Linked DNA regions of Oryzias latipes. The protein of the gene in region 3 interacts with the protein of the main gene of each other region in a biochemical or structural test. Links are inferred from orthologs where the notes say so. Each region holds a gene or a part of one and is shown on either strand. Other genes may lie near its edges. The genes, in order: e2f1, rnf4, sp1, esr1, retinoic acid receptor alpha-A, atf7ip and pou2f1.

Region 1 (4,197 bases), on a different chromosome or scaffold from region 3:
TGTCGTACCTCGACTTCTCCGCCGTGCTTCGAGGAACTGGAAAAGCAGTGAAAAACACGCCGCCTTAAACCTCCTCCACAAACAAAACACACATCCAGGTGGAAAACAGGTGATCCTCCGACTCCAGCTGTGAAGACGTTCCAGCGGCACAGGCAGGCCTCGTTTGGACCACGCCATCGAAACTTTTATTTTCTTTAAGGTAATATTTATAACCAGCCTTTAAAGAAACTCCAAGCCCCGCCCTCTCTGACGTGGCCACGGGACCTGGATTTCGGAGCCACGGCGGGTCTTTTGGTGGTTTAAAAATAGAAATCCACCGATGAAGATTCTGCTGAAGGAAACATCTTAGAACTGAACGGTCAAATGTGGATTTCAGTGATAAAAAAACAAAAGGAACTGAGGCTCAGCCTTCAGCAGAAATTCTCCTTCAACTTCTCATCCCAACGGCCCCAAACGTCTGCGGACGGAAACGCTTCACGCAGCATGTGGACGCCATGATGTCATGAGTCAGTCTGAGCGTTACGCAATCCAAAAGATGTAAAATGATTGGTGGTCCTGTTCAAAAACACAGGACCTGGACTGCTCTATCCTGCATTAAATTAGGATTTAGATAGTAAAGAATTCATTAAACACAGTTTCTGACTCATGAAAATGTGAAATAGGAGGATTTTATAGTATTTTACGCACCGGGTCCTCCTAAGACCCGGTCCTTTTGAAAAACCGCTGGACCTGGACTCATTTTTATTTAATCATTTTAAAGTTTTTGTGGCTTTCCTGCTCGCAGCGCTCTGTTGTTTGGGATTCTGTTGCCTCCCCTCTTGTGAATTCGTGTCGTCTGCCTGCAATGCAGCTCACCAAACGACGGCAGACTAAAAATAGATCATTTTAAATTGATCAACTACATAAAATCATCCCATTTCAATGTTCATAAATCAGAAGCTGTGTTTAATGAATTCTTTACTATCTAAATCCTAATTTTAATCCAGGTTTGAGCAGCCCAGGTCCTGTGGTTTCTGAAAAGGACCTGGTCTAAGGTGGTCTTAGGGTGAAAAATGCAGTGGAATGTTCCTTTAGTGCCCCCGCTAACCGGACGCCAGCTTCAGCGCCGTGAAAGGATGCCGAGTCGGCGCTCCTGCTCCTGAGCGTGCGGCGTACCTCTGGGAGGAGCAGGAGTAGAAGGAGGTGCTTGGCTGGCGGAGGATCGGGTGGTGCTGACATACTGGTGGTCGCTATCCAGGTCCAGCTTCCTCTTCACCTAATCATCAAATGAAGAGGAATCGATTATGTGAACCCCGGCGTGTGATGATGTGGCGGCGGCGGCCGCCTTGAAGCCACGCCCTCACCGGAGGTCTTCCCAGAGCCGGCCTCCTCCTGTCCTGGCCCCCCGCGTCGGCGTGGCTCTGCGGCGTGGCGAATAGCAGGATTTCCCCCGTGCTGCTGGGGGCGGCCAGCGGGTGGAGTCCCTCATTGCTGGGGCTGGTGATGATGACGATCTGGTGGTCCTGGCTCAGATCGATGCTCCCGGAGTTCAGCAGAGTCTCAAAGTCCTTCAGCAGATCCTCGGATGTCTGACCCGTTATCAGAGTCTCTGACATGGCACTGCCTGCCGCCCAAAGGGCTCCTGCAGCAGACTGGGGGAATGCCAGGGAGGGTGGGGGCACCAACTGGGGTATCAAAACAGGCTCAGCACCAGGTGACCCCAAACATGTTAGGAGGACTTGAGGAGAAAATGCTGATCCATTAACCTCTCCTCCTCCTCCTCCTCCTCCTGCTGAAGGTTGACCTACAGCGAGCCTGAAATCTGCAGATCAACCACAGAGGAGTCGAAGGTTCAAACGTCAAGGCGAGACGTGGAGCCCAAACAGGAAACGACCCGCTGAGCGCATCCTACTTTAGGCTCACGCGCTGCTCGGCTCGCGCGCCGTTTTCAGCGGAAATAAAAGAAGGTCAAAAGACGAAGTAGAAGAAGAAACCCGCCGTAAATTGAGATCATGAGCGAGCTAGCCTGCTAGTCTTTCGTTTTCCTGTCAGAGGCCTCGCCACTCCGTCCTCAAACACAGAGCTACCAAGCTAACGAACTAGCTTACCACAAGAAAAGACTACAACAACTTTGCTAATAAACACGAACAACAGCAGAGGACTACATTTACCACCACTACCTAAAAGTTTATCTCCTTTTCCCTACGATATGGCTTCATTAACGGGTTCGGAAAACTTTATAGACGCTCACAGAACTGGGCTATCTAAGCAATAAAAAAAATACACATTCACTCGGCGGAGGCATCATGATCGCAGATCCACACCATCTTTGAGAAAATAGTTCCCAAAAGAAAGCAACCATCCGTCCGGGCGACGGCGACGACAGAGAGTTTAGCGCGGAAATACGGGGAACTTTAGCATGCTAGCTTCAGGGATTAGCTGCAGTTCTTCGGTCCCCCTCGTACTGTTGGGGCACGCAGGAAGCACTCGGAGAAACGCGGGAGATGCAGACAAAACGGAGGAAATACTCGCTCAAACGTTAAAAAATGTGCCGATGCTCCTTCGTCTGCTCGCCGAAGATCGGGTCCATCTGTAAACGAGCCGCGCCGACCCCATTAGCAGCCGTCATTGTTGTTGTCCCAGCTGATCTATATCTAAACAAGGCTGGACGGTTTTCGCGCGAAATCCTTTTTGCCGCGAAACTGGCACGTGGGGAAAAGCGACCGCTGGGATTGGCCAGTGGGATTCGTTTTGCGCGTGACGCGATTGGTGTCTTCCGATTGGTGGAAATGGCCGTCTGTCACGTTACAGAGCATGGGGAAAACTGGCCTTCCATGTGACCAGGTTGGTGTTCTCTGATTGGCGGAGATGGCCGTCTGTGACTCTCCAGAGCACAGATTTGCTGATTGGGAGGTGCATTCACGTTCCACGGACAAAAGGCTTCTTAACTGCTTTGTTTAGGAAATTTTAAACAAAATAGTAAAACACGTAGTGTCAGTTTCATGTAAGGTTTCCCAAAACTAAAAGATAAACTCCTTTACCATATTAAATATATGATGTAACAGTCTTTGCGTCCCAGCTTAAAAAAGTTACGTTTTTTCAATGTAGTCCCTAGCGCTCCCTCTCCGTTTAAGCAATCAGATTAACAAAAAATAAAGTTAAATCTGATTGCTTAGGAACTTTCTAAACTAGAGTTTTCTGGGGGTCTGAACCAAATGTGATAAGTTTTTTTCTATTTGCAAATATTAATGTAAGCATTTCATTGGGGGGTCTGCACCTAAAGTAACAGACCCTACCAATCGATCACCGATGGTAAACAGGAGCGCTGTAAGATGGCGCAGACAATATTCGAGGCGCTGGAAGGTACAAATATAGTCTTATTTACCGCGCAATTATTAAATATGTTATATGCCAAAGAAAACCACATCATGTAAATTAACTGGAGACTTGTTTGAACACTAAATCACCCTTTAAACGGGTATTATGTAGGCTGTAAGCACCCTGAACTGAAGGGTTCTGCCTGATCTGATGATGATGATTGTAAACAACCTGATTATATTTTAAAGATTAAGACTGTACTGCTATAAACGGCTTTTTTTGTAAATGTAATATTAATTATTTCTGTAATATAATAACTCATCTCGTATGTCAGTGTAAAAGCTGTACATGTGACAATAAAAGCTATTCATTAATATGTGAACATGCACTCCTCGCGTTATTGTTTCTGTCACTTTCATGGAGAAGCAGATCTTCTTCTAACATGTTGTAAAAAGAAAAGCTGTTACTGATGTTAAATCCCTGTTTCCCTCCATCCCCTCAGGCATGGACAACCAGACCGTTCTAGCAGTCCAGTCCCTGCTGGATGGCCAGGGGGGAGTCAATGACCCCAACAACCAGAATGTGTCTGCAGGATCCACCATCCAGTCTATGGGTAAGGAGCATTCTGCACCGAGCTCCACAGGACTGCTACAGATTAAGACAACTAAGCTCAAAGTTGCATTTCCGAGTATTCGTAAAAGATCGCATTTGTGACGTAGAAAATCCGCCGGGCGGGGCCACAGGCTCCCTGCTCCGCCCCATTCTGATGCATCCACTTGCAGACAAATAGGTTGAGGGGCTTTTATCTAGTGTGTAAACAAAGAGCTCTCAGCAACAAGGGGGTTGCTCTGTGCCAACAGTCACGCCCACAGCTCCTGGCGCTCTGCAGAATCTATGTTC
Region 2 (3,934 bases), on a different chromosome or scaffold from region 3:
GGAGTCAGAAGGTTCTGAGAAACACTTTTATGAGCCAAGCTGCTGTTCTCACAGCATCAAGAGGAACAAAGTTAGGAAGAGAATAGATTGCTTTCACAGGTGGACAGCTGTCTGCATTTCTGCTGTTTTTCTAAACGTTACCTTTCCATGAGACAAAGGTTCTCTTTAGATGCCGAGTTTTTAGTTCTTTAAACGGGTTCTGGTTCAGACTTCAAAGGCAGGTTCGTTCATGCCTCTCACCCGTGCATTTCTCTTACCTCAGAGTACAGATCCAGACAGACCGGACAGCTGATCAGGCCTGGCGTCGACCTGAAACCCAACAAGAACCCAGTGACTTTTACTTCAAGAACCTGAGGAGCTTTGCTGCTTTCTGTCCTGGTTCTGCAGAACCATGAGCCCTACTCAAACTGATGTGAGTCCGTCTGTGTTCTCCACCCTCCTGTTTTGAGTTCACACTCCGCTCATCCCTTTCTAAATATCACCACAACATTTACTGTGACCTCTATGGATTCGGGGGAGCTTTGGTGTGCACGCTCCCCCGTCGAGCGTGCACACCGGGACGCTCCCAACTCCCCTGAACTAAACGCAGGCGCAGAGTTCGGTTCTTCACCTTGATGCATGTGCGGCCGCCGCGGTGGCGGCGCTGCTGAAAAGGGGCGTGTCCTCATCTTCATCACTGCTCAGGACGTAGCTCTCACCTGCAGGGACTGTGCTGCTCTGAGGATCTAACACAAACAGAAGGTCAGGTGACCCTCAGATGACCTGGTGACACACACTGAGGTCCAGGAGGACTTACCCTCATCCACCAGCTGGAGCGCAGAGACAAGAACAAGAGAAGAACATCAGCTTACAGCCCGTTTCCACAGCCCCCCCCAAAGTGAATGATGAATGACAGAGCGTGTTACCAGCACAGAGTCGTTGTTGTTGGTCAGGTCCACCACAGCAGCTTCTGCTCCCTCACAGGTAAGGTCCACCACCTCCTCCACACCTGCACACACCAGCCGTCGGTTACAAACACCTGAGGACAGCGAGGCCGTCAGAACCTCCAGGCAGCACTACAACCACCTGCTTTGATCCCTGAGGAGAAGCTGCTGCTGTGTTTGGGTCTAGAGGTCAGACTGAATCTTCCTCAAAAGAAAAGCTTCTGCTGGAAGCGTCTCCAGACCATGACACTTCCACTGCCGTGCTACAGGATGAAGACAGAGCCAGCTGAAGCTTACAGCAGACCCGTGCTCTCAGAGCAGAGGTTTAAAATGAGCCTAAACCCCATTTCCAAGTGAATCCTGGGGAAAAAAAAGGCTCCCGGAGGCTGACACACTGACCGTCGTCCGTGTTGTCCATCACGTCGATGGTCTCGGCAGGGGGAGCGGAGTCTGCACCGGTATGAGTCCCCCGGTTGACCGCTCTCCTGGATTGAGCAACTCTGCTGGTCTTGATGCTGGGCCTGGAGACCCGAGGACTTTCGGTGGGCCTTCTCTTCCTCTGGGCCTGAAAACACATGAACACGCAGGGCCTCAACCACCTCAGGTGAGCTCAAAGGCTGACCTGACACCTGGGAGTCAGGTTCACAACAGTCACAGTGAGCATCACTGAAGCAAGGAAAGCTGCTGCCAGTTTTCAGTGTGGTCAGAATGAAGCTCCACCCACTGCTCCACAGAAGCTTTAGGTGGAAACTGCTGACTGCAGCTCAGAGCAGCTTCCACAGAAACTGCTTTTTTCCAGATGATGATGGAGGAAAGCAGACGTTCCTTTATCATTACAGGGCGTGATGAAGAGAGGCATGCAGACGTACAGAGCTACTCATGTCCGTCCAGGAGCTGCGGGCGGCCGGGCCTTCGGAAGCTGCGGGGGGCCGGGCCTTCGGGAGCTGCAGGGACCCAGAGGAAGGGTTAAGGTTAGGATTAAACCCCCAAATGGTTCCTGAGCACTGCTGTTTCTGCAACTCGCCGCTCCTCCAGAGGATGGATCAAAAGAAGGTATCTATTTTTATAAATAGATTACTAAAACTGTCCCATTTCAAACTGTCGCGACTGCTTTTCAAACGTCGGGAGAGTTTCTTCTGTTGTCATCTGTGAGGGACTAGAAATGTTTGGTCAGACAAGGAGGATTAGGGGTGGATTATGTCAGACTTTTGTATGATAGAAAGATATACAAAGAGAATGTCAGGCATGGCCCATTGAAACATTTTGTTAAAATGCATTAATCTCCATTGGTTTAAAACATGTACTCTACAATCACAGAAGAAAGACGTTTGATCTTCCACCGCGCCACGAAAAAAGCTCCATCCAGCACCAGCAGTGTTTCCCTGTCCTCAGCTTCTGTTTTGTGCCTACACGCTTTCCGTAGCAGGTACAATTGGTCATTTGTCCTCAGTTATATGATTTATTCATCTGCTTTTTATATCAAAAAACTATTTCATAACGTCTCATTCGAACAAGCTAACAAGAACACACGTGCAGAGTGATTGGAGCAGTTATTCAACCACCGCTGGCTGCAGTTAGAACTGACGTACAGAGTCACGTGAGGAGCCGGTTTCCAAAGTAAACCATTTCTGTCACAACACCAGCATTTCGGTGATCTCTTTCTCGACTCTTACCGTTTGATGTTGCTGTCGTTTGCTGCTTGGCGCCTTTTCGGCCTCTTATTTTACTCCAAAAGTGTTATCCGAAGAACTGAGTCTGGTAGAGGCTATACACGCTGTCTGGACCGAGTCAGAACCGAACTCAGGACCACTGACACCATCTGGGAGAACAGTGGAGTGTGGGCCTCTATCTACTTCCGGTCTGCGGGCTCTTCTTCTGCAGCTGCGTCTGATCTGAAAGCTGCAGCGCCACCGTGTGGACAGGTCACCTTGTGTTTACCAAAATAAAACACTCAAAGGAAAATGGTGTTTTGAGTTTTTGACATATTTTTGCGGCATTTTTTTTCATCATGGGGCAAATGAACATATATAAAAAAAACTAAGAATAAAAAAGCATTTCTAGGCATTTTTTTTCCAAATCGTGGTGAATCAAGAGCAGATTTTATCCTTAGTTTTAGAAATGTAAATTTAAAAAAAAAAAAAATAATTAAAGATATCTTTTTAATTTAGCATTTACAAAACGTCTTTTACTTTTTTATTTGGCCTTTGAGTATTTTTTGATTTATCACTTATACATTTTTACCCTATTATTCTAGACGGTACCTTCTCAAACCATCAGCCGTACCGGTTTGACCATTTTATAATCATCTTCTGATGTTTTTAGTCTTTGATGTGTCATGATTTTTTTCTTTCATCCTATGATTGTGTCTTTTATGTTTAGTACCTTGGATTCTACCCTTGCTCCTTGATAGTTAGGTGCTCTGTAAATACATTAATGGAAAAATATATTTTTGTTTTGTATTTTGTTTTTAATAGCTTTTCCCCCTCTGTCAGTTTATCATATATAAACTAAACTCTGCTGAGATCCTGTTTCTGTCCTTTCCTGGTTCCTGTCTGAGCTCAGCGTGAACGTTGAAGACGTGTCTCGTTAACATCCTGCTGTGCATGCGTAGAAGGACCAAAAATCATGTCTTAGTCACTGCAAAACACTGAAGAAACTCGCTTCAGCTGTGTTCACACAGCAGGGACCCTAGTGGGCAGAGGACCAGAGTCTGAAAAAAAAGAACTTAGTTACATCAGAACAAAGAGTTTGGTTAGACTGTCTCATCTCTATCTCAGAACCTGCAGCTGCACCAATGTAAACGTCTGTGGAGCCATCAAGGGTCTACAACATGTGTCAAACTCAAGGCCCACCATGTCATTTTCTGTGGCCCGCCAGAGCATAAAAGCTTTTAATTTCTTAAAATAAAAGTTGGTGTGTATTTATTCATATCTAGGGGGAATCTGACTTGAAATATCAGATTGGGGAACTAAACATTAGGACTTAAACACTGTCTATATAACCTAACCTGA
Region 3 (3,122 bases):
GCCGTCAGCGTGAGGGCCGTTGTCCAACTGGAATCCTCTTTCCTCTGGCCCAGTACCACGGATTCTCTGACGTCCATTCTTACCTCAGCAGGTGGAGTACATGTGTTCATCAAGATACTAGTTAAGTTGAACTAGTAGTAATAGTTACTAAATACCAGGAGAAAATGTGCAGTTTGGAACATAAAAGTGGTCTGTTAGTTTTTGACAAATGGGATTCTGGATTTTTAACTCCAGGATGAATTTCATTAAACTCCACTAAAAGCTAAATTGTTTAACTCAGTAGATGGAACTTGTGCTTTACATTTGAAATGACGAAGCATGAACTCCTCTCTGCTTACAGCCTCCGTGAGAAGCTGAAGTGCGAGGAGAGTATGGGGATGTGAGGAGAGTATGGAGTATTGTCTTATTTTGTGCATGACCCGCATTTTAAACGAATAAATTGGTTTCTGACATGTGTTGAGTGAATGCTGAAACACAAGCTTGCCGTGAACTGAGAAAGTAGATTAATTTTTAATCAAGCTGTTGGCATTTGCAATAGATGTATAAACACATTATAAAATCCCTTATTTTAAAATGCAGGGGGGACATAAGAGCACTTGTCCAATAAACTTAAGTCACTTTTCTAAAAGGTTGTGAAGATACATTGCACAGATTACAGAGTTTCACAAAGCAGAACTAAAAGGAAAAAACAGCAATGCAAACCATAACTTTAGTAACAACATCCTGCTGTTTTTATATTTAGACATAAAAGAAAACTGATAGGTTTCATTCATACTTGTTCTCCAGTTTTAACATATGCATCATATTTGTACAAAGAAAAACAAAGTTCATTGACCAAAGCCAAACTTCTTTCCAGGCTCTTCTCTGGCAAACGACAGAAAATGAATGAACCTTTGGTTTGAGCTTGTAAACTGTATAAACATTATTGCAGTTTTTTTTCTCTTTTTTTTTTTGCTCTGGCCATAAATGACAGGGGAAAAAACTCAAATTGAAACTGAAAGTGACATTGCTCTCAAATTCTTAAAAGAAAGAAGTACCACAGGAAAGGAAAACTTAATATTACCACAATGTGTCAACTGGAAGATTGGTGCTGTATATAACATTCTATGAAAGCTTTGAAGTTTATACAGTTATTCTATATTGATTTATATATAATAAAAAAATAAAATGAAGATTGTGCATTCAGGAAAGACTAAAGCATTATCCTGCAATCAGGTAAGATGATCCTGCCTAATTTTGATTTTTACAAAAAAAAAAAAAAAAAAATATGTACACTTTTTAAAAAAATGCTTTGATACCACAGATATTAGAGTACAATGGCTTGAATGTGTTCTTACATCAGAGTTATCCCCAGGACTTGCTGGCAGACAATGCTTTTGGCCCAGTTTTGCTGCTGGGTAATTCATCCATGCACTAAGACAGTAGAAATGCAAGCCAATAAAATTACCCAATGTTATCACGACTATCAATCAAGTATTCAGTTTTAGAATCTAAAACATGATGTTTCCTTTGAATTTTAGGGAAATGTTTAACGGTGCTGTGGGCGGGGCAAGACACCTCTGATGCAAAGAGGGGCAAACAAAACAGTCCTGCAGGAAGTAGAGCGAGTGACTTAAGGTCACCTCTTCACTAAAGAAACTAGAGAATATTACTGGTCTTAAATTAACTATCAAATGTCTAATTTCAATCCCACTGGTTTAACTTTGTTGGAACTGGGGGGAAAGTTGGTCTAACTGCCATTCCTTTGCAGGGAAAATAAATTTCACAGTGTTTAATAGAGCATCTTAATCTATTAAATACTACCAATATCTAAATATAAAAATCAAAATTTGAATTTAGCATATATAATGTTGCATTGGTGACCCTTTTCTGTTTTAACACCTTGGAGGTTTTGCTTTATGCCCTTTTTTCTGTTTGTTTTAAGCCCAAATTCCAAACAGGGAATTTCCCCCTCTGTTGATTTAATAATTGTTTCCATTGATCTGGTGAAGGTCCACCTGCATCATATTGATACCACTACTGGCTAAACGAGCTAAGCTTTCTGCAGATAAGGTTTCCATGGTGACGATGGAGTGTTGGTCATTGGCCGACACTGCTCCGCTGCCTGCTTCTGTTCCTGCTGCCGGGGAAGCAGCATCGCCCGCTAACGTGGAGCTGTTGGTAACTGTCCCAACTTTCTTGTTAAAGTGGGTCTTGATGTGCTTTGAGAGATGGTCACTACGCATGAAGCGCTTGGGACATTCAGTGCAGGCAAATCTTTTCTCACCTGGAGAAAAGGGGAAGGAAGGGAGAGAAAAGAAAACATTTTAGGCACCTGCTAGATTGACTTTTTGCAACATAAAAGTACTCATTTCTTTAGACTGTCAGTATTTATCTTTTTATTTACAGCCATGGTCAAATATCAGCATCCTTGCAATTTTGTCAGATAATTATTGCAATTGTAAATGTTCATATGTTTATTGTTTTGGACTACAATTTTGGCACCATGTAAAAGCCTTTTAAGCATGTGATACTCCAGTAATTTGTGTTTAGACACACCTGTGGCACCTAACAGGTGTGGGCAATATAGTAATCCCGCCTACAGCCAGTTATAAATGGAGAAATGGAGGACTCTGATCACAGCTGTTCCTGTTCCTTTGTTTTTTCCAGCGCAAAAAACTAAAACACAAATACCAAAACATCTGGAACAATTCTCAGAAAAAAGTGTGACATTTTCGGACAGAATTGCCAGGGCGCCGGCCTTTGGAGCCATGACTACAACAGAGGCAGCAGCTGGACTCTCCCAGAAGAAAATAGTTATTTTATAGGCTTATACACGTCATTCGTGGTGAGGTTCGTGGTCATGACATTCCAGTACACAAGACCAATACTAGCAAACGCACACTGTTAAAGCAGGTTTGTGTAAAGTAAATCCTAATTTCTACCTGTGTGTGTCCTCCGGTGGCGCTGGAGCTCATCTGAACGCGTGAATCTTTTACCGCAGAAAGACCAGTTGCAGACGAAGGGGCGTTCTCCTGTATGCCAACGAAGGTGGGCTCGGAGGTGTGAGGTCTTCCCGTAGATTTTCCCACAGCCGCTTATGTGACAAATGTGCTGCTTCTTTTTAGTTGGATCACTGATTA
Region 4 (3,928 bases), on a different chromosome or scaffold from region 3:
GCACACTTAGATGCCCTTATCTGAGAGGCACCAAAACAAACAGGATGTGTAATAATTAGTTGTACTTCTGAGATGTAAATATCTTCAGGGACGTGCTAAAGTTCAAGTTTATCTGCACCCTTGCGGAGTGTGCGTTGCAGAAAAACAAATATTGAGGGCCGCTTTCATGTAGAAAATGGTAAATGATGGGAACAAAAAAGCTGAGGCGGGAAAATCTCTTGTCAGGTGAAGTTAGTGCTCACCGCCTTTCATCATTCCCACTTCGTAACACTTCCTAAGACGACAAGCCTGGCAGCTCTTCCTCCGATTTCTGTCAATAGTGCACTGATTGGTCGCTGGGCACATATAGTCATTGTGACCTGAAATGGAGAAAAATATATTACTTTCAGCCTTCAAGTCCAATGTTCAGTTTAGATTTAGGTTATTTAGTAGCCAGGAACACTGATAAAAGAATCTGGGGAGGAGAAGATGAAAATGTGGCATCTTAGCTTTTCTATTGCCATGGAAACATTTTGTAACCTTCTGACTGATCCTTCATTACACAATTATATCGTGAACATGACTGAACCATCAAGCAGATGGAGCTTTTCTCTTCAACTGTTGTGATCCAAAAACTAACCACAAAGGCTTAAATGTGCGCTCATCAATTCTTTTGATTTAAGACTAGTCATTTCTACGATATCACAATTTATGATGATTATCAAAGTATAATTGAGAATTTTTCAGATCAGACTGATTTGACATTTTTGACAGTTTTCTAAATCCAGAAGACTTTTTAGTGTGGCTTCCTACCCTGGATGCTCCTCTTGAAGAAGGCCTTGCAGCCCTCACAAGACCACACCCCATAGTGGTACCCAGAGGCGTAGTCGCTGCACACGGCGCAGAAACGCGTGTCTTTGGCCATCTCAAACCCCCCAGCCCCGGCTCCGGCGCCTAACTCCCCCAGGCTGCACGTGTCCTCCCGGGAGCCGCACTGGTCCTCCCTGGAGGCTCCCTGGTGGCTGGATCTGCAACAGGTTGTGAATCTTAATCTGACCATTTCTGGTTCTGTGGTGCTAATAAAGGACAGAATTTGCCAAAAGATGATCAAGAACATTCTGACTAAAAATATGAAAGTGCAAAAACAGACTTGTGTTTTCCACCGGAACCAGAAAAACAAAATTCATGTGAGCCTCTGTTGTTCTTACGTATTGTTCCTCTCTCAAGGTCTCTGACAAAGTCCTTAATCTCTGGATTTAGAAAGCAGGACCAAGCTTGATCCTTTACGAAAAGATAAAGTTGTGTGTTTTGTATAAAGTGGAAGATTAAAAGGTTGTGTCATTATGTAATAATGTTTTGTTTATAAAAGCACTTGGAAGACTCAACTTTAAATGTCATTGCCATAAATTGTAAAATATCTAGTTTTCCGCCAAGGCTGCTCCTCATGTGTGACAGTGGGTGAAAAACACCCAAACTCCTTGATTTTTGTAATTAAACAAAGCAAAATAATAATCATTTTTTGGAATTCAGTACTTCCTTTTAACTCAGTCTGCCTAAACAAACAGTTGGATGAATCAGCAGAGGCTGAAACACAGACCTCTCCCCCTCATTTGTCCACTTTCATGACTCATTCGGAGCTAAACTGCCCTCACTTACCTGTAAACGGGCGTGGAAGTGGTTTCCAGATAGTGGTGGCTGGGTGGATGCATAAAGGGACTGAGTCTGGGGCTGGAGGGCACAAACACCAGAGGGCTCGTCGGCCCACTGCCCAGGGACTGCAGACTGCCTTCTGAGGGGGGTCCGTTTGTTTCCAGGGGAGCAGAGTAGTAGCCGGTGCTGGACTGGCTGTAAAGGGGAGTCGTGGCAGGGTTGGGGGCGGCATAGTCGTACGTCCCTTCCAAAAAGTCCACAGCAGCCACCCCTCCAGAACCCCGGCTCTCTTCAGGGTACATGTCACCGAGGGGGTCACGGGGCGAGAGGCGAGGTGGGGAGAGGGTCTCCAGCTCTGAGGAGGCTGGGCTGATCCTGGATCTGAGTGCTGGTCCGAACAGCTGCCTGATCTGCACCGAGCTCTGTCTGAGCAACATCACAGCACAACAGCGGCGATAAGAAGCATGATTTAGACTTGTTCTCCCATTTGCTGGGAGGGGGAGTGGAGTTCTCCTCTCCCTCTCTCTTTTTAGTCTTCCCTTTCTCTCTGTGTGGGGCTCATCTTTCTATTAATGCCTGTCAGACTACTTGGAGGGACCAGAAGATCCTTTTTCCTCGTCTCCCTAAAGCTTCAGCTCACCAAAAATAACGAAAAGGACTCCTCCCAATCTGCTGGTTTTGTCTCTCAGTATTTCCTCCAATATGTTTACACTCAAGTGTGGGAGTCACAAGTGGGAGAGAGAGGAAAAGAAAGGAATGTCAGGGAATAGTTATTCCTAAACTTCCCTGTCTCCTTCCACCTCGTTTGTCTAAAGCAAAGCTTTCCCCGGCTGTCGTGTGGTTTCCAGAAACTACAAACCAACAGAGCGACTCTGAATAATCAGCTTTTATTAGCAGAGGATGCGGCGTTAGTGGTGAGATGGCCAAAACACAACCAAGACTGCACTCAACCTAATTACTGGGTAAATAAAAGCAGGGATGCTTTGAAACAAAAAGGCTTAAAAAAGAAAAAAAAGAAAAGAAGAACTGCAAAATCAAGCATGAGACACCACTCACCTCTTACTCATGAATCATCCTCAGATGTGCTGCGCAACACGGGCTGCTTCCTCTCTGCCTGCCTGACAGGCATCTAGCAGCGAGACGGGCAGCTTCGGTGGAACCAGTGGAAAGGTTTGAAAAAGGATAAACAAATTAAAGATGCAGCCAAATCAATAACCATGGTGTGTTTAAGTGCCAGGTCACCATAACACAGCAAACAAAGCAGGGGGTCAAATCTCAATCTGACAGCCAACAATTACACAATCAATTCCAAATAAGGAAATTAATGGGGATTTTAAATGCAGAAAAAGAGGAAAAAAAGATAATAAACACAAAAAAAAAGGTTTGGTCAAAGGGGAAGTGGCAAAACATTTCCACTAAAGCCAAATTGCTGATGCCATAGATTTCTGGAAAAAAATAGTATTTACACTTTAAAGTTTTTTTTGTGTGTACTTGAATTACTAGGAAAGAAAAATGGACTTGAAATTCTTCCAGGAAAATTAGATTTGAATAATATTAACATAAAAATGGGGGGGGGGGCTAAAATAAAGCTGATTTTATCAAGATATGATCTTCTTATATGTTAGAATAAACATGAGCATGCTCGACTGCTGAAGGGGGGAACAAAAGCCCTCCTCCTCGTTCCTGTCCGGACTCTTTCTTGAACAAACAGCCCAATTTTCAAGACATGTTGGGGTCAAGTGGGAAACAAGTAGTCTTGATGATGATATGGATCATTTTGCATTTTTCCTAGAATAAAATTGATGACAGCAACACCAGGAAACAGCAAAAAATGACTGGTTGGGAAGCAAACGTATCCAGCAAATCACCAAAAATGGCTTTAGCACGCCTCTTAGAATAATTGACCTCATTTTCGTGACGGACCACCTTCACAAAGTACGACAATTATACCCCTCGTTCATTCAGAATTGTAATGCACATGTTGCAGCATTTCCAACTGTTTCGTTTACAGGTTTTTAAAGTCCGACCTGACCTGAATGCAACAGGTCAACATGCGAGAGCAGAAAAATAAAGACAAGATGCCCCACTCTTAGTTTCATCTATTTATTACCTTTTTCATCTGTTCAGGTTTATTACAAGTGTGTGTTTTATTTGAGCGCAGACAGGCGTCAGGATGGACTCCAGATTTTGGCCAGGGAGATTTAAAGCTTTAATCCAAACCATTCAGATTAAAAATCAACACCCAAACCTTCCTCTGATCTTTACTTTGAAATCAAACTTTCAGGCAAATCTGCCTTCA
Region 5 (3,500 bases), on a different chromosome or scaffold from region 3:
AATCAACAGAACCACTGGGATTAACGCAAATACTTTCTTCTCCTCGGTCGCATGGTATTAAAAATAACTAGATGCTTCTCCGCTGATTTGTTATTGTTGTCGAGTGTCACATGGGTATGTGTTTACAACGCCCCAAACGAGAAAAATAGAAGGAAGCTTTGGAATCATGTTTGGTTTGACATTTGCAGAGAAAATTCCTCTGGTACATGAATTTATTTGTGTTTGTAATCCCAAGGAATCAGAGGAAACTTTTGGATTTAGGAGGACAGATGCATTTATTGGCCTTACACAACCCTGTGATGCAGAACTCTTCCTGCACGCCTCTGTCTGCTGGCCTGGATCGACAATGACTTATTTGAAGCTTTCTGAACTGGGTCACAGTTGTGTGCCAACCACGTGGCTTTTGACCTAAAACCCTTTGAGGCTTTTTAACATCTCAAAAGCATTTTCTTTTTCCTTTAAACCTTATATAGACAAGCTGGTGGGCAACATTATGAGCCTATACGACTGTTGACAGTACAGTAGTTCTTCTGGCAAATGAGCAAGCTCCGCTGGTTTTCTGTAATAAACTGGAATGCTGTTGGCTCGGGGAAGAAGCCACCGCCATTTCCGGCTTCATTTCTAAATGGAATGCGCCATATGTCTCAGATTAAGCCCTTTATGGACTTAACTGCTTGATGGTTTAGTGCTTTTCATCTGCATCGGTGTGTGGTATTGTTGGCTTTTTCCTAATATCAACCCCTATTTCATCCTGAAAAACATGCTGCTTTGTTTTACCTGGATTAAAGGTGTAGCAGCATCCTATAGAGCCGTGCTGTGGTTTGTTTAGCCTCACCGCTGCGTTCTTCTGCCACGCAGGGCTTCTTTCGGAGAAGCATCCAGAAAAACATGGTGTACACTTGTCACCGGGAGAAGAACTGCATCATCAACAAAGTCACCCGCAACCGCTGCCAGTACTGTCGGTTACAGAAGTGCCTGGAAGTCGGCATGTCGAAGGAATGTGAGTAAAGATCCCCGTTGTTCCCACCTACACAGGATCTCATGTTGTTGGGTTTAATCGCAGTAGTTCAGAGTTTGTTCTCCTGCTTGCAGCTTTTAATTAATTTGGTTCAATTTTTGTGTTTTTCAAGGCTTTAAAATTACAGCTGAAAATCAATGCAGTGGAATAATTCTTTATTTGACTGCTGGGTTTATTGGTTCGATTTTTGACCGTAGAAATAAAAGCGGTCAGAGAGGCTCTGTGTCTCAGGAGATCAGATTTTGTTCTTCTTTTTTTAAATACAATCTTTTTGCTGCTCACAATGAGCCTAAATAAACACATTTATTCTTAAAAAGATGTAATAGACCAAAGATTTTTTAAGAAGGGCCTGAGAAGTTTCAATTAAATCTGAGCAAAATAAACTTTTTTGTTTGTTCCGTTGCTAGAATTAGACAAAAGTTAAGTTTTTATGGATTTCTGCCTTAATTCCATAGTTGGCCTTTTCATACAGATTTCATAGATTTAAATAGACTTTTTAACAGAAAAAGAAAGAAGTTAATACTTTTTTTGTTCTTATTTAACCTTTTAGGACCTCAATTTATCTCCTTGTTTCCCTTAATCATGTTGTGTGGGTTACCTAAACTTTGTCATGCTTGTGGTGTTTTAGTTTTAGGCTGCAATAATAAAATAATGAATGATTTGGTTTAGATAATGCACTATGAAAAAAACAATATTTTTTTCTTGTTTTTTAATCATAAATTGAGCCAAATTATACCAAAACTTGACTAATCCAAAAGGTACAACACATTTCATTGACGGGGAGGGAAAAACAATGAAAATATAAAAAGAAAATAAGTAATTTGTGAATTCTGAAGCTTCAATAACTGAAAACCTTTTCCAGTTTTTTTTGTAAGGTCATCAAAAGGCTGAACCTCTTGTTTGTTGGAGTTTATTTTTAAGATTTTCAAAAGAAAAGCAGTATTTTTTTCTTCTTCTTTTACCTAAATTGACAAAAAGAAGCCCTGAACCAGATGATTTGTTTAATGTTTTTTCCAAATACTAAGATTAGAAAATCCACTTTGAGGGTGTATCCATTTTTTCCTGTATTAGAGCTTTAAAATCCGGTTACAATTTTCAAAACAAAAATAACAAAAGTATATTTTATATCTTAATACTATATGCTTGTCATTCATGATGTATTTCTGATGTGACAGTAGTAACTGCAGATTCAAATCTCCACCCACGCTTTGGACAGTGATTTTCTTAAAAAATAAGAAATAAATGAAAGCTCTGGCTTTAATTCAGGTGTGTGTATTCATGGCCAATTGATCTTTTTTTTTCAAGACTGTCCATCGTATTGTCCTGTGAAATCATGAAGCTGCCATTATGTCCGAGATGGATTCCTCATCATTCCTGTGAAAGCTTTTCCTCCCCAGCTCTTCCATCCATCAGCTTCCCACAAATCCTATTTTATTTCAAATGATTAGCTGCAGCATTAGCCCGGTGAGAGTTTTGTCTGCGTTTGGTTGTTTAATCTGCAGGATAAACCGTGTTGGTAGCAGCGAGGGCAGAAGCGATGGAGACGGGCAGCAACAGTCGCCGTGTCTCCAGACTTGGCAGGCCTGGGTGATGAATATGTTCTCACCTGCCGAGAGTGAAAGAGCAGGCGTCTGCTCCCATCATTGCACCCCGGGGGCTGTGTGAACACACACACACGGGCAGTCAGACTTGATGAAGTAATTGGTGGAGGTGTGACCACGGAGAGCTCAAAGGCCAGCAGGGTTTATACCTCACCTGATCACATGACGCGGCGGCGCCCGCAGCCATGAGCTATAAATGCACTGCGTCCTTTCTCCCCACCTGCCTATAAACACATTATGTCTTTGCTACTGATGCCCCCCCCCCCCCTCCATATCCACAGCACTGTTGCTTACAGTTAAAAAAAAGTTATCCTCTGAGCTCCTTACCTTTGAACGGTGCCATTAATCATAGTTAGAAACACCACAGCAGCCAGTTCTTTTACACCCAATTTCACTTGGTGGCAAACAGCACAAAAGGTGGAGTTAGAGTGCCCTCTAGTGGTAGAAAAACTAAACTTTTGAAGAATTTCTTTTTTCGAAGGGACTCCTTTTTTGCTAATCATGTCCGATAAATACACCTCCTGTTTTATAATAAAGCCCTGTTCAGCCCAAACATTTTGTGCAGAGTGGGCAGATTGCTCGACTTTTTGTCACAGCAGTGACTTTGGCCCGCCAAACTGGTCTGGGTCGGTGCCGGAGGCAGCGGAGACGCGAACCATCTGCAGCCTGCAGGGACTCTCCGACAGCACGGGGCACGCGCCCGTCAGAGCGCTCGATTATGCACGCTCACCCGCTCACTGCGGCGTTACGCAGGTTCAAGGTGACAACACGGAGTGGAGTGAATTAAAATGCAAAGAAAGAAAGAAAAAAGATAAACAAGAAAGGAGCTGGGACGGTTCCACATTCAGAGAGCGTGCACCCACACATCCAGAAGGCTGGAC
Region 6 (3,390 bases), on a different chromosome or scaffold from region 3:
CCTACATGTTTTCCAACCTGCTGTTGAAGCTCCTTATTGGCTAAACACACCTGATCCAGGTAATTAACAGCAGAGCAGGCAGGATTTCTGGAAAACCAGCAGGTGGTTGGTCAGCCCTCGAGGTCTGGATTTGGTCTACCCTGCTCTAAGGTTTATTCACCAAAGGTCTGAGTTAACGTCATCAGCCCAGAGCCAAACCGCCAAAGATTGTGGACTTACTTCACACACGTTTGTCTGTATCACAACAAATCTTACCTTGCATTCCTAAAATCTCTCCTTATGGAAATGACCATCAATGGGTGCTAGCTACCTCCTGTTCCTTTTTACCAAAGCTGCCATTAACCGGTGCTCGCCGGTCCACCAGCAGCAGCGTGGCGTTCAGGGATGTTACACCATATTAATTATTGACAGCAAGCACAAACCTACACATCCTCAATTAGCTTAGGCAAGCTAAAGTGCCGTCTGACAGCGTGGTTAAAAACAGTTCATTAACACTTCAATTTAGCCGAACATTTAATAAAACTTTTTTTTATTGTTTTTGTCAAAGTCTCATTTCCAGACAGAACTTACAAAAGTTATTTTGTTTCTACCACACAAGTTTACATTTTTGTGCATTTGAGTTTACATGAAGAATCTTGCAGCCTATCCTTTAAAAAAAAAAAAAAAACAGGTGGAAAAAAAGGCTGGAACAGCGGGAGGCAACAGCATAAATATCTGACGTTGCAGAGGGGTTAGATCAATCAGATATTTACACGTTTGAGTCACAAAATAATACGTCACATACAAAGAAGAACCAGTGAGAATGAAGATTTGATTCAGCGATCCTCCAAGTCAGTCAGTAGTCCAGGATGTGGGTTTATTTACAGATACTGCATGTGTTCAGCATTGAGTCTTAACAGAAAAGGATTTTCTTTTAAATGAAAAAAAGAAGTTGCCATAACCATTCAAAGGCAAAAAACAAAAAAAACAAAAACTTTTATTTTTTCTGACGGTTTTAGGTAGAAGTGGAAGTGATTACATTTGTGCACTGAGGTTCACAGAAGGTACCGAAGCGTCCATAAATGTCCTTGGCTCGAACAGCAAAATAGTATGTGGAGCCAGACTGGAACTGTGTCAGCGTACAGGCCATAGGGAGGGGCAGCGCGTTCACCTCCCCTATCTTCTTCCAGTGCTGCTGGGCGGAGCTGGAGTTGGAGTTGTCTTGGTGAAAGGCGTACAGGTGATAGCTCTCTACGGTGGCGCAGCTTCTGTCGACCTCCGCCACACTCCAGGACAACACGATGCCGGTTTGACCCGGCACCAGCTTCAGCTGCAGTTGTTGGGGAGGAGAGGTGCGTTCGGCCTCGGGGGGTAAGCGTGTAGGCGCGGGGGCGACGGGGAGAGCAGGGAGCGCTGGGGCCGGACCCCGTGTTGTTGCAGAGGTTGTGGGGCGGGGCTTGGAAGCAGCATCCTATGAAAAACATAGAGAAGTTTAGAAAGCAGTCACTAGAAGTCACTTTTGATGTGCAGAAAAAAAATGACGAAAAGTTGATTATTTTAGGCTTTTAATGTGAAACCCCTCGTCTGGATTAGTTCAGCATTTTCAAGTTTTCAAATCAACAACCATAATCCTTTGACAGAAGTTACAGGCAACTGTTACTCGTATGCGAATAAAACCAAACAATTAGATGTGATCTTAAGTAGTTCAACAAAACTTTTTAAAATAAGGAAAAACTGTCAAAAAAATAAACCTTCATTTTTTAAATGTAGCCCTGAAGAAAAAGTAGAGTCTTGTCTTTTTGACCAGTTTTCTTTTTTCCGAAAAGAAGAAAATGAAGCTTAAAATTGTTGTTTGAAGTATTTCCTTATTCAAATTTTTGTGAATCAGGAGCAGACGAAGAAATGCCGTTTGAATAGGAGATCATTTGTGATGGGCTGTAAGCTAGCAGGAGAGTGGCCGGTCTATAATAATGGCGGGTCTGAAAGGTTCTCTTTACTTTAGATGCCAGTCGCCAATAGTGGCCGGGCTCCTATTGCTATTGACACTTCTGTTACATTTGAGCTCTTCTTCCTTTTTTCCCCTCAAACATCAGTGAATAAAAACAGAAAAACCCAAACCCTTGGGGGCCAGAAGCTGCTGTTATTATTTGTATAATCTTGTGTGAATTGTTCTCCATTCATGCTCGAGTTGCAGACACATGTAATTCTAAATAAGAACTAAAAACAATAAATTCAACATTTTCTGTTGCACTTCTACATCCTCACCTGTGGGGGGCGATGATGCACCGTTATCTGAGGATTTGAGGGGTTTTGATTGGTTTTTGGGGACGACCTGGCTGCAGCGCCTGCAGATAAATCACAAAGATTTTTTTAAACACACACAAAAAAAAAACAAGCAATAATTGTGAATTGCTTTAAGTGCTGTCGTTTGTTTATGAATTAAACATGCTAGGTTGTTCTTACTGGTGGAAATGCTGGTAACTGGGTTGGAACGCAACGCAGGAGAAGGAGGTGCAACTGTTGCATTCTTCACTCCTGTCACTGCAAAACAAAACAAAAAAAACTCTTAGTGTCAGGATTAAAGACAGGAAAAGTTTTTAAAACAATAAATTCATGAAGGGGAAAAGGACTCGTCTTACCTTGAACATCATCGTCATCCTCGGTAAGGTCGATGACGGAGCCTTTGGGTCGTGCTACAGGCACAACTACTTTGGTTGGCGGGGTTATGGTGGTTTGGTTGTCTAAATAAGATCATCTTGTTAGTTATTAAGTTAGAAGAACGAAAGTAAGCAAAGGCAGAGCTTCCATCTTCCTCACCTGTTTTTGAAGTTAGAGACGTCCCTTGTGGGGGTCCTGGGGCAGTAGAACCGGTCGCCGCCGGTACAGAGGTTGCAGGTGAAGATGCAGAAGACAAAGCTCCAACCACAGAGACGGACTGAGCCGGTGTCCTTGCTGTGGTCACAGAAACTCCCGCGTTGGGAGTAGTTATTCCACCTGCACCGCCTTGGTACACAGCACGGGCCACAGAGATCTGGGTGGAGGACACCTGACCCGCAGAGGCCTGAATTGCTGGGAGAGAGGCGGCCGTTGAGCTGGAGACCGATACTGGGTTGGTCGCAGGAGAGGGCTTGAGAATGAAGGTGGTGGTGGAGGGAGTGGTTTTAGCCTTGGTTAGTGAGGTGGCCGCAGACAAGGAAGAAACTGGGAAGTTGACCAGCGTCCCCGTCTGGCCATTAACCGATAGCGGCAGCTGGATAACCAGAGGCTGCCCCGCAGCCACCATGCTGCTCCCGGGGGCCGTCTTCAGCACCAGCGTGCCCGGCTGACTCTGAGTAGTGATGCCTGTGGCCAGCGTGGAGACGTTGTTGGCGCTGGAGGTTATGAGCTGCAGGATGGAGCCCTGTGGAACCA
Region 7 (3,964 bases), on a different chromosome or scaffold from region 3:
GTATCTCATTTTAAATGTATCATCCCATGCACGTAAAAAGTTCATTGTGACTTTCTTTGAATACATTGGAGTAGTTTTTTTCAAATTCATGAATAAAAATGCAATTTTGTTTATTAATAATGGAAAAAAAAAGACTGCATTATTTTGCCAAATGGCCTCTTTATATTTACGAATTTTCTGTTTTGCATTATACAGTCATGAATGATTCATTTCAGCAGAAAATCACCAGAAACAACTAGTCTATTCCTAAGGAGACACAAAACTCCTATTATCACATTTTTTTTCTCCTTTCTCTAGAGTGAACAGGCTTGTCTGACTAGAGCCTTCATCGAGGCCTTCTCAGTACTTTGAGGTGGCATGTCCTGAATTTATTACACCGGGTGATGAATTATTCATAGCAACTGTGTTTACATCAATGAATATTCATGATTGAACTACAAGGCTGGCGTGAGGGGGAAACTGGAAACTGAAAATGAGAAAAGTAGCTTCAGTGGGATGATGGAACATTTCTTGTGTTTTCTATGGAAAGCACTATTTATTAAGTTGGATATTTAGGGAAAAGAATAAGGATATTTCCAGAACAAGAAATCATAAAATCCAAAAGACTGAAGAAACCTGCACTTTCAGTGTTGTGACACAAGCAAAATGAACTATTTCCTCAGCCATTCATGTGTGATGAGTTCTATGACTGCGATTCGACTTGACATGCAACACTGTGCCATTTTTGAAAGTCAAATTTTATTTATTTACTGGTACTTAATAATTTGATTAAAATGACATATTTTAATGGACCTTTTTAAATTAAATTACGACCTAACACAAATTTGCAAAAAGCCCTTACTCTGTCAAATTTTAAGGCCAAAACAGTCAAACTTTAGATTAATCTATGGGGAAAAAAATCTAAGTCTTTGTACTTTTTCTACAGTTGAACTTCTAAAAACATTTTAAAGTAATGCTACAGAGCATTTTGGGAAGACAAAAATCATCATTATGAAGTCAACCGCAATAACGTAAACTCTTCATAAGTTTAGACTTATATTGATTTATATAAAAAATGTTTTCAATTTGAGATTTTACCTTTGCTTGTACTCGTTTTTCTGTTTTTTATTTGATTTTAAATTTTTAATATTTTATGGGATGTTTTTGAAACAGCTTGTGTGAAGACAACCCTGTAGTTGAACAATTGAACACCAATTAACAACAATTAAAATTAATAATTTTAATAAATAAATAAATATTTATTTAAAAAAGAAACACTAAAATTAGAATATTTACGAATGAAAGAAAATTGTCTAAAAGGTGTTTACAAAGATATAGAATCTTTTGGTAAAGTTAAGATGGAACAACCCTGATTGCCTTGGCTATTATTTTGAAAAGAACAGGCAAAACAGTGCCATCAAGCTTCAAGTGTCTTGAACAGTCATGAAAGCAGCAGGGAGAATAATAAGAGTGCTGCCCGTTATTACTGTGGCCTTCCGGAAGTGGGCCTCACCACCCCTTCCTTTGCCTGAGGGGGGTACAGGTACAGTCCTAATTTAGTACAGCTCGGCCAAGTCAAAACTCCAAACACAAAGAGAGGCCCAACAGCTTTAAAAATGTTTTTAAAAGGGGTCCAACAGAAGCCACGAGCGCGCTCCATAATAAAGTGAAGCCAAAACAGAACAGTACCACCAAGTCTCAGACGACTCCCACCTCAAGTCGATGAAAACAATGCTAGTCCCAACTTCCACCATAATCCCGCACATAAAAAAACACCGACAAAACAGCCAGGTTTGGACCATTGATCTAACACAAAACATCAAAATAACACTAAATATAATTATTAATAGCTCAGGAGGTACAGTCTATATTACAACCATAACAAGCTATCCCCGCTCATTTAACGTAAACAGACGACAAAATCGCGTTACAAAATATTGGCAAGTTGTGCCGCGCAAGGCGAGCTCGTCAACCGTGGATGGAATATGCTGAACTCCACACTACAGTGTATGAATAACACAACAGGCTGCCGTGGCTCCGCTGCGCCAAGCACAAAAGGCAAGGGGGAAAAATGCTCTGCTATTTAAAAAAAAAAAAAAGGAGAAAAAATGATCATGTAGTAGAGCCTCAGAGCTGAGAGACACAGAGCTGACGCCGTGGGGTAAAACTAGTAAAAGACGGCCTCAAATAAAAATACGACGCTTAGATTGAAATACCCAGGATAAATGTTTGTACAGAGGTGCGCGCGGCCACTGCCCGGCTGGTAAAAAATGAATATGCAAACGTTTCTCAAAAGCCTCAGTGTACATCAACACAAAGCCGAGCGTTAGCACGGGCGCTACAGCTAGCCAGCTAGCACCCCCAGTCCCATCAAACTGCGTCCCTCAAATACAAATACAGCCATATGCGTTCCTTATGAACCGGAGCCACGACGCTGATTACTAATAAAATATGCTAAATTGTATTTGTCGACAGACATATGAATATGTAGCGGCGTACAGCCGTCTAATCACACAAAGGGGGGAGGCATGTTTCCATGTAATTTGCCGTCGCACTGCAATAGCCCGTTTCCTCCTCTGTCAAATTACAGATGGCCAGCTGTGTGCAAAACTAAAACACCGCTCCGTCGAAGCTTTATCTGCTTGTCTCTTTTCGAGTCATCTGTATTCTGGTATCATAAATTCTGAGTAAGAACGTTTGAATACGAGTATGAATATGTAAAATGCCGTAATCATTACCTGGTCCTGAACTCTCATCTTGACTCGCTGCTCCTCCGTCCGCCATTTTGAATATTTAACCCGAAATTCCAGCCCTGAGTCAGGCACACACGCGCGCGAGCGCACAAACAAACGCGCGCGTGCACACACACAAAGCACACAAACCTGTTCGGAGGACAGAAAAGGACAGTTTTTCCCTTCTGGCTTGCTTAAATACTTTAAACATATATTATCTTATCTTGCACAGGTTTCTAACAACACTTTTATTAACTGCAAATAAACATAAAACAAATAATAAGCTTTTACTTTACAAAAATAAGAAGTTTATTAAAATTATGAATTATAATACATAATTTAAAGACCCACTCCCAGGAAAATCGTTGTTTTGAGTATTTTTTAATACATTCTTGTGGCATTTTTCATAATGAAGGAGTTAAAGAAAATTAAGCTCAAAATTGCATTTTTGAAATTCTTCATTGTGAAACAAGAGCAGACGGAAAAATGCAGTTGGAAGAAGATCATACTTGTGACGCAGAAAATAGATTAGGCGGGCCACAAGTTCCCTGCTCTGTTTCACTCTGATGCATCCTTGTAAACAAATAGATCCATGTACGTCTCTTTTTCTTCATCCAAGCTGGGATATTTACTCAAAACGATACAACTGGAAAGCTCCAATATTGATCACCATTTTCTGTTGCACCAGTGATGTTAGGTTAGGATTCTGTGGGGCTGTAAGCTAGCTGGAGAGGTGTAAATAGATGGATAATGGGAGGGTGATGGACACTCTGTGCCAACGGTCCTGCCAACAATGTAAAGGTGAATTTCTGATGAACTGCTGCCTCTCTGCAGAATCTATATCCTAGAAAAACAACACAGGTTTTTCTTTATTTTGGCTATAAACGGAATAATCCAAATTAAAACGCTACTGGGAACGCTTTGAAAATAGATCAAAAGGTTATTGGAGTAGGACTTTAATGGATTTAATGGGTTGAGGCTATAAACAGTGTTATGTCTGATCTGTGCTGTTCCTCAGTGTTCACACTTTGGCCCTCTCGGATTTCAGGTCACTTTGTTGATCATTCAAATCCTTTCAACATTTGTCAGAGAATATGACAGATGATACAATACTATTTTATTCCATTTTGTTCTTGACTTAGAGTTTAACACGTTGACCTGCCGAATCCTACTACAAATTAATAAACTATCTTCTTTTTGGCTTTCAGCTCTTTTTAAGAGTCACTACAGTGAATCATCTACCTCCTTCTCAC

Evidence for each region.
Region 1: the proteins of sp1 (region 3) and e2f1 form a complex in vitro, tested with the Homo sapiens proteins (4 studies listed by BioGRID and IntAct). The link is inferred for Oryzias latipes from reciprocal best matches to the Homo sapiens genes SP1 and E2F1.
Region 2: the proteins of sp1 (region 3) and rnf4 form a complex in vitro, tested with the Homo sapiens proteins (2 studies listed by BioGRID, with this or other methods). The link is inferred for Oryzias latipes from reciprocal best matches to the Homo sapiens genes SP1 and RNF4.
Region 4: the proteins of sp1 (region 3) and esr1 form a complex in vitro, tested with the Homo sapiens proteins (6 studies listed by BioGRID and IntAct). The link is inferred for Oryzias latipes from reciprocal best matches to the Homo sapiens genes SP1 and ESR1.
Region 5: the proteins of sp1 (region 3) and retinoic acid receptor alpha-A form a complex in vitro, tested with the Homo sapiens proteins (2 studies listed by BioGRID). The link is inferred for Oryzias latipes from reciprocal best matches to the Homo sapiens genes SP1 and RARA.
Region 6: the proteins of sp1 (region 3) and atf7ip form a complex in vitro, tested with the Homo sapiens proteins (3 studies listed by BioGRID). The link is inferred for Oryzias latipes from reciprocal best matches to the Homo sapiens genes SP1 and ATF7IP.
Region 7: the proteins of sp1 (region 3) and pou2f1 form a complex in vitro, tested with the Homo sapiens proteins (3 studies listed by BioGRID and IntAct). The link is inferred for Oryzias latipes from reciprocal best matches to the Homo sapiens genes SP1 and POU2F1.

The regions. Positions count from the first base shown.
Region 1 is NC_019865.2:2,000,237-2,004,433, forward strand, and holds the start of e2f1 (transcription factor E2F1), read right to left. Parts: upstream 2,801-4,197; 5' UTR 1,892-2,800; intron 1,802-1,891; 5' UTR 1,596-1,801; coding exon 1,344-1,595; intron 1,256-1,343; coding exon 1,156-1,255; intron 37-1,155; coding exon 1-36. Other genes in the region: znf341 (zinc finger protein 341), read left to right, coding at 3,312-3,342, 3,800-3,910. UniProt on the Homo sapiens protein: Transcription activator that binds DNA cooperatively with DP proteins through the E2 recognition site, 5'-TTTC[CG]CGC-3' found in the promoter region of a number of genes whose products are involved in cell cycle regulation or in DNA replication.
Region 2 is NC_019868.2:3,826,217-3,830,150, forward strand, and holds the start of rnf4 (E3 ubiquitin-protein ligase RNF4), read right to left. Parts: upstream 2,801-3,934; 5' UTR 2,597-2,800; intron 1,868-2,596; 5' UTR 1,805-1,867; coding exon 1,793-1,804; intron 1,489-1,792; coding exon 1,323-1,488; intron 989-1,322; coding exon 906-988; intron 810-905; coding exon 797-809; intron 726-796; coding exon 611-725; intron 310-610; coding exon 258-309; intron 1-257. UniProt on the Homo sapiens protein: E3 ubiquitin-protein ligase which binds polysumoylated chains covalently attached to proteins and mediates 'Lys-6'-, 'Lys-11'-, 'Lys-48'- and 'Lys-63'-linked polyubiquitination of those substrates and their subsequent targeting to the proteasome for degradation.
Region 3 is NC_019863.2:10,441,023-10,444,144, forward strand, and holds the end of sp1 (transcription factor Sp1), read right to left. Parts: intron 3,116-3,122; coding exon 2,925-3,115; intron 2,267-2,924; coding exon 1,962-2,266; 3' UTR 501-1,961; downstream 1-500. Other genes in the region: cell division cycle-associated protein 7, read left to right, coding at 1-91, 341-383. UniProt on the Homo sapiens protein: Transcription factor that can activate or repress transcription in response to physiological and pathological stimuli.
Region 4 is NC_019882.2:8,941,328-8,945,255, reverse strand, and holds the start of esr1 (estrogen receptor), read right to left. Parts: upstream 2,801-3,928; 5' UTR 2,697-2,800; coding exon 2,686-2,696; intron 2,056-2,685; coding exon 1,636-2,055; intron 1,008-1,635; coding exon 793-1,007; intron 360-792; coding exon 243-359; intron 1-242.
Region 5 is NC_019877.2:4,427,169-4,430,668, reverse strand, and holds part of retinoic acid receptor alpha-A, read left to right. Parts: intron 1-858; coding exon 859-1,000; intron 1,001-3,500. UniProt on the Homo sapiens protein: Receptor for retinoic acid. Retinoic acid receptors bind as heterodimers to their target response elements in response to their ligands, all-trans or 9-cis retinoic acid, and regulate gene expression in various biological processes.
Region 6 is NC_019859.2:10,796,342-10,799,731, reverse strand, and holds the end of atf7ip (activating transcription factor 7-interacting protein 1), read right to left. Parts: coding exon 2,797-3,390; intron 2,721-2,796; coding exon 2,619-2,720; intron 2,521-2,618; coding exon 2,443-2,520; intron 2,325-2,442; coding exon 2,245-2,324; intron 1,451-2,244; coding exon 995-1,450; 3' UTR 501-994; downstream 1-500. UniProt on the Homo sapiens protein: Recruiter that couples transcriptional factors to general transcription apparatus and thereby modulates transcription regulation and chromatin formation. Can both act as an activator or a repressor depending on the context.
Region 7 is NC_019879.2:10,758,499-10,762,462, forward strand, and holds the start of pou2f1 (POU domain, class 2, transcription factor 1), read right to left. Parts: upstream 2,801-3,964; 5' UTR 2,764-2,800; coding exon 2,718-2,763; intron 1-2,717. UniProt on the Homo sapiens protein: Transcription factor that binds to the octamer motif (5'-ATTTGCAT-3') and activates the promoters of the genes for some small nuclear RNAs (snRNA) and of genes such as those for histone H2B and immunoglobulins.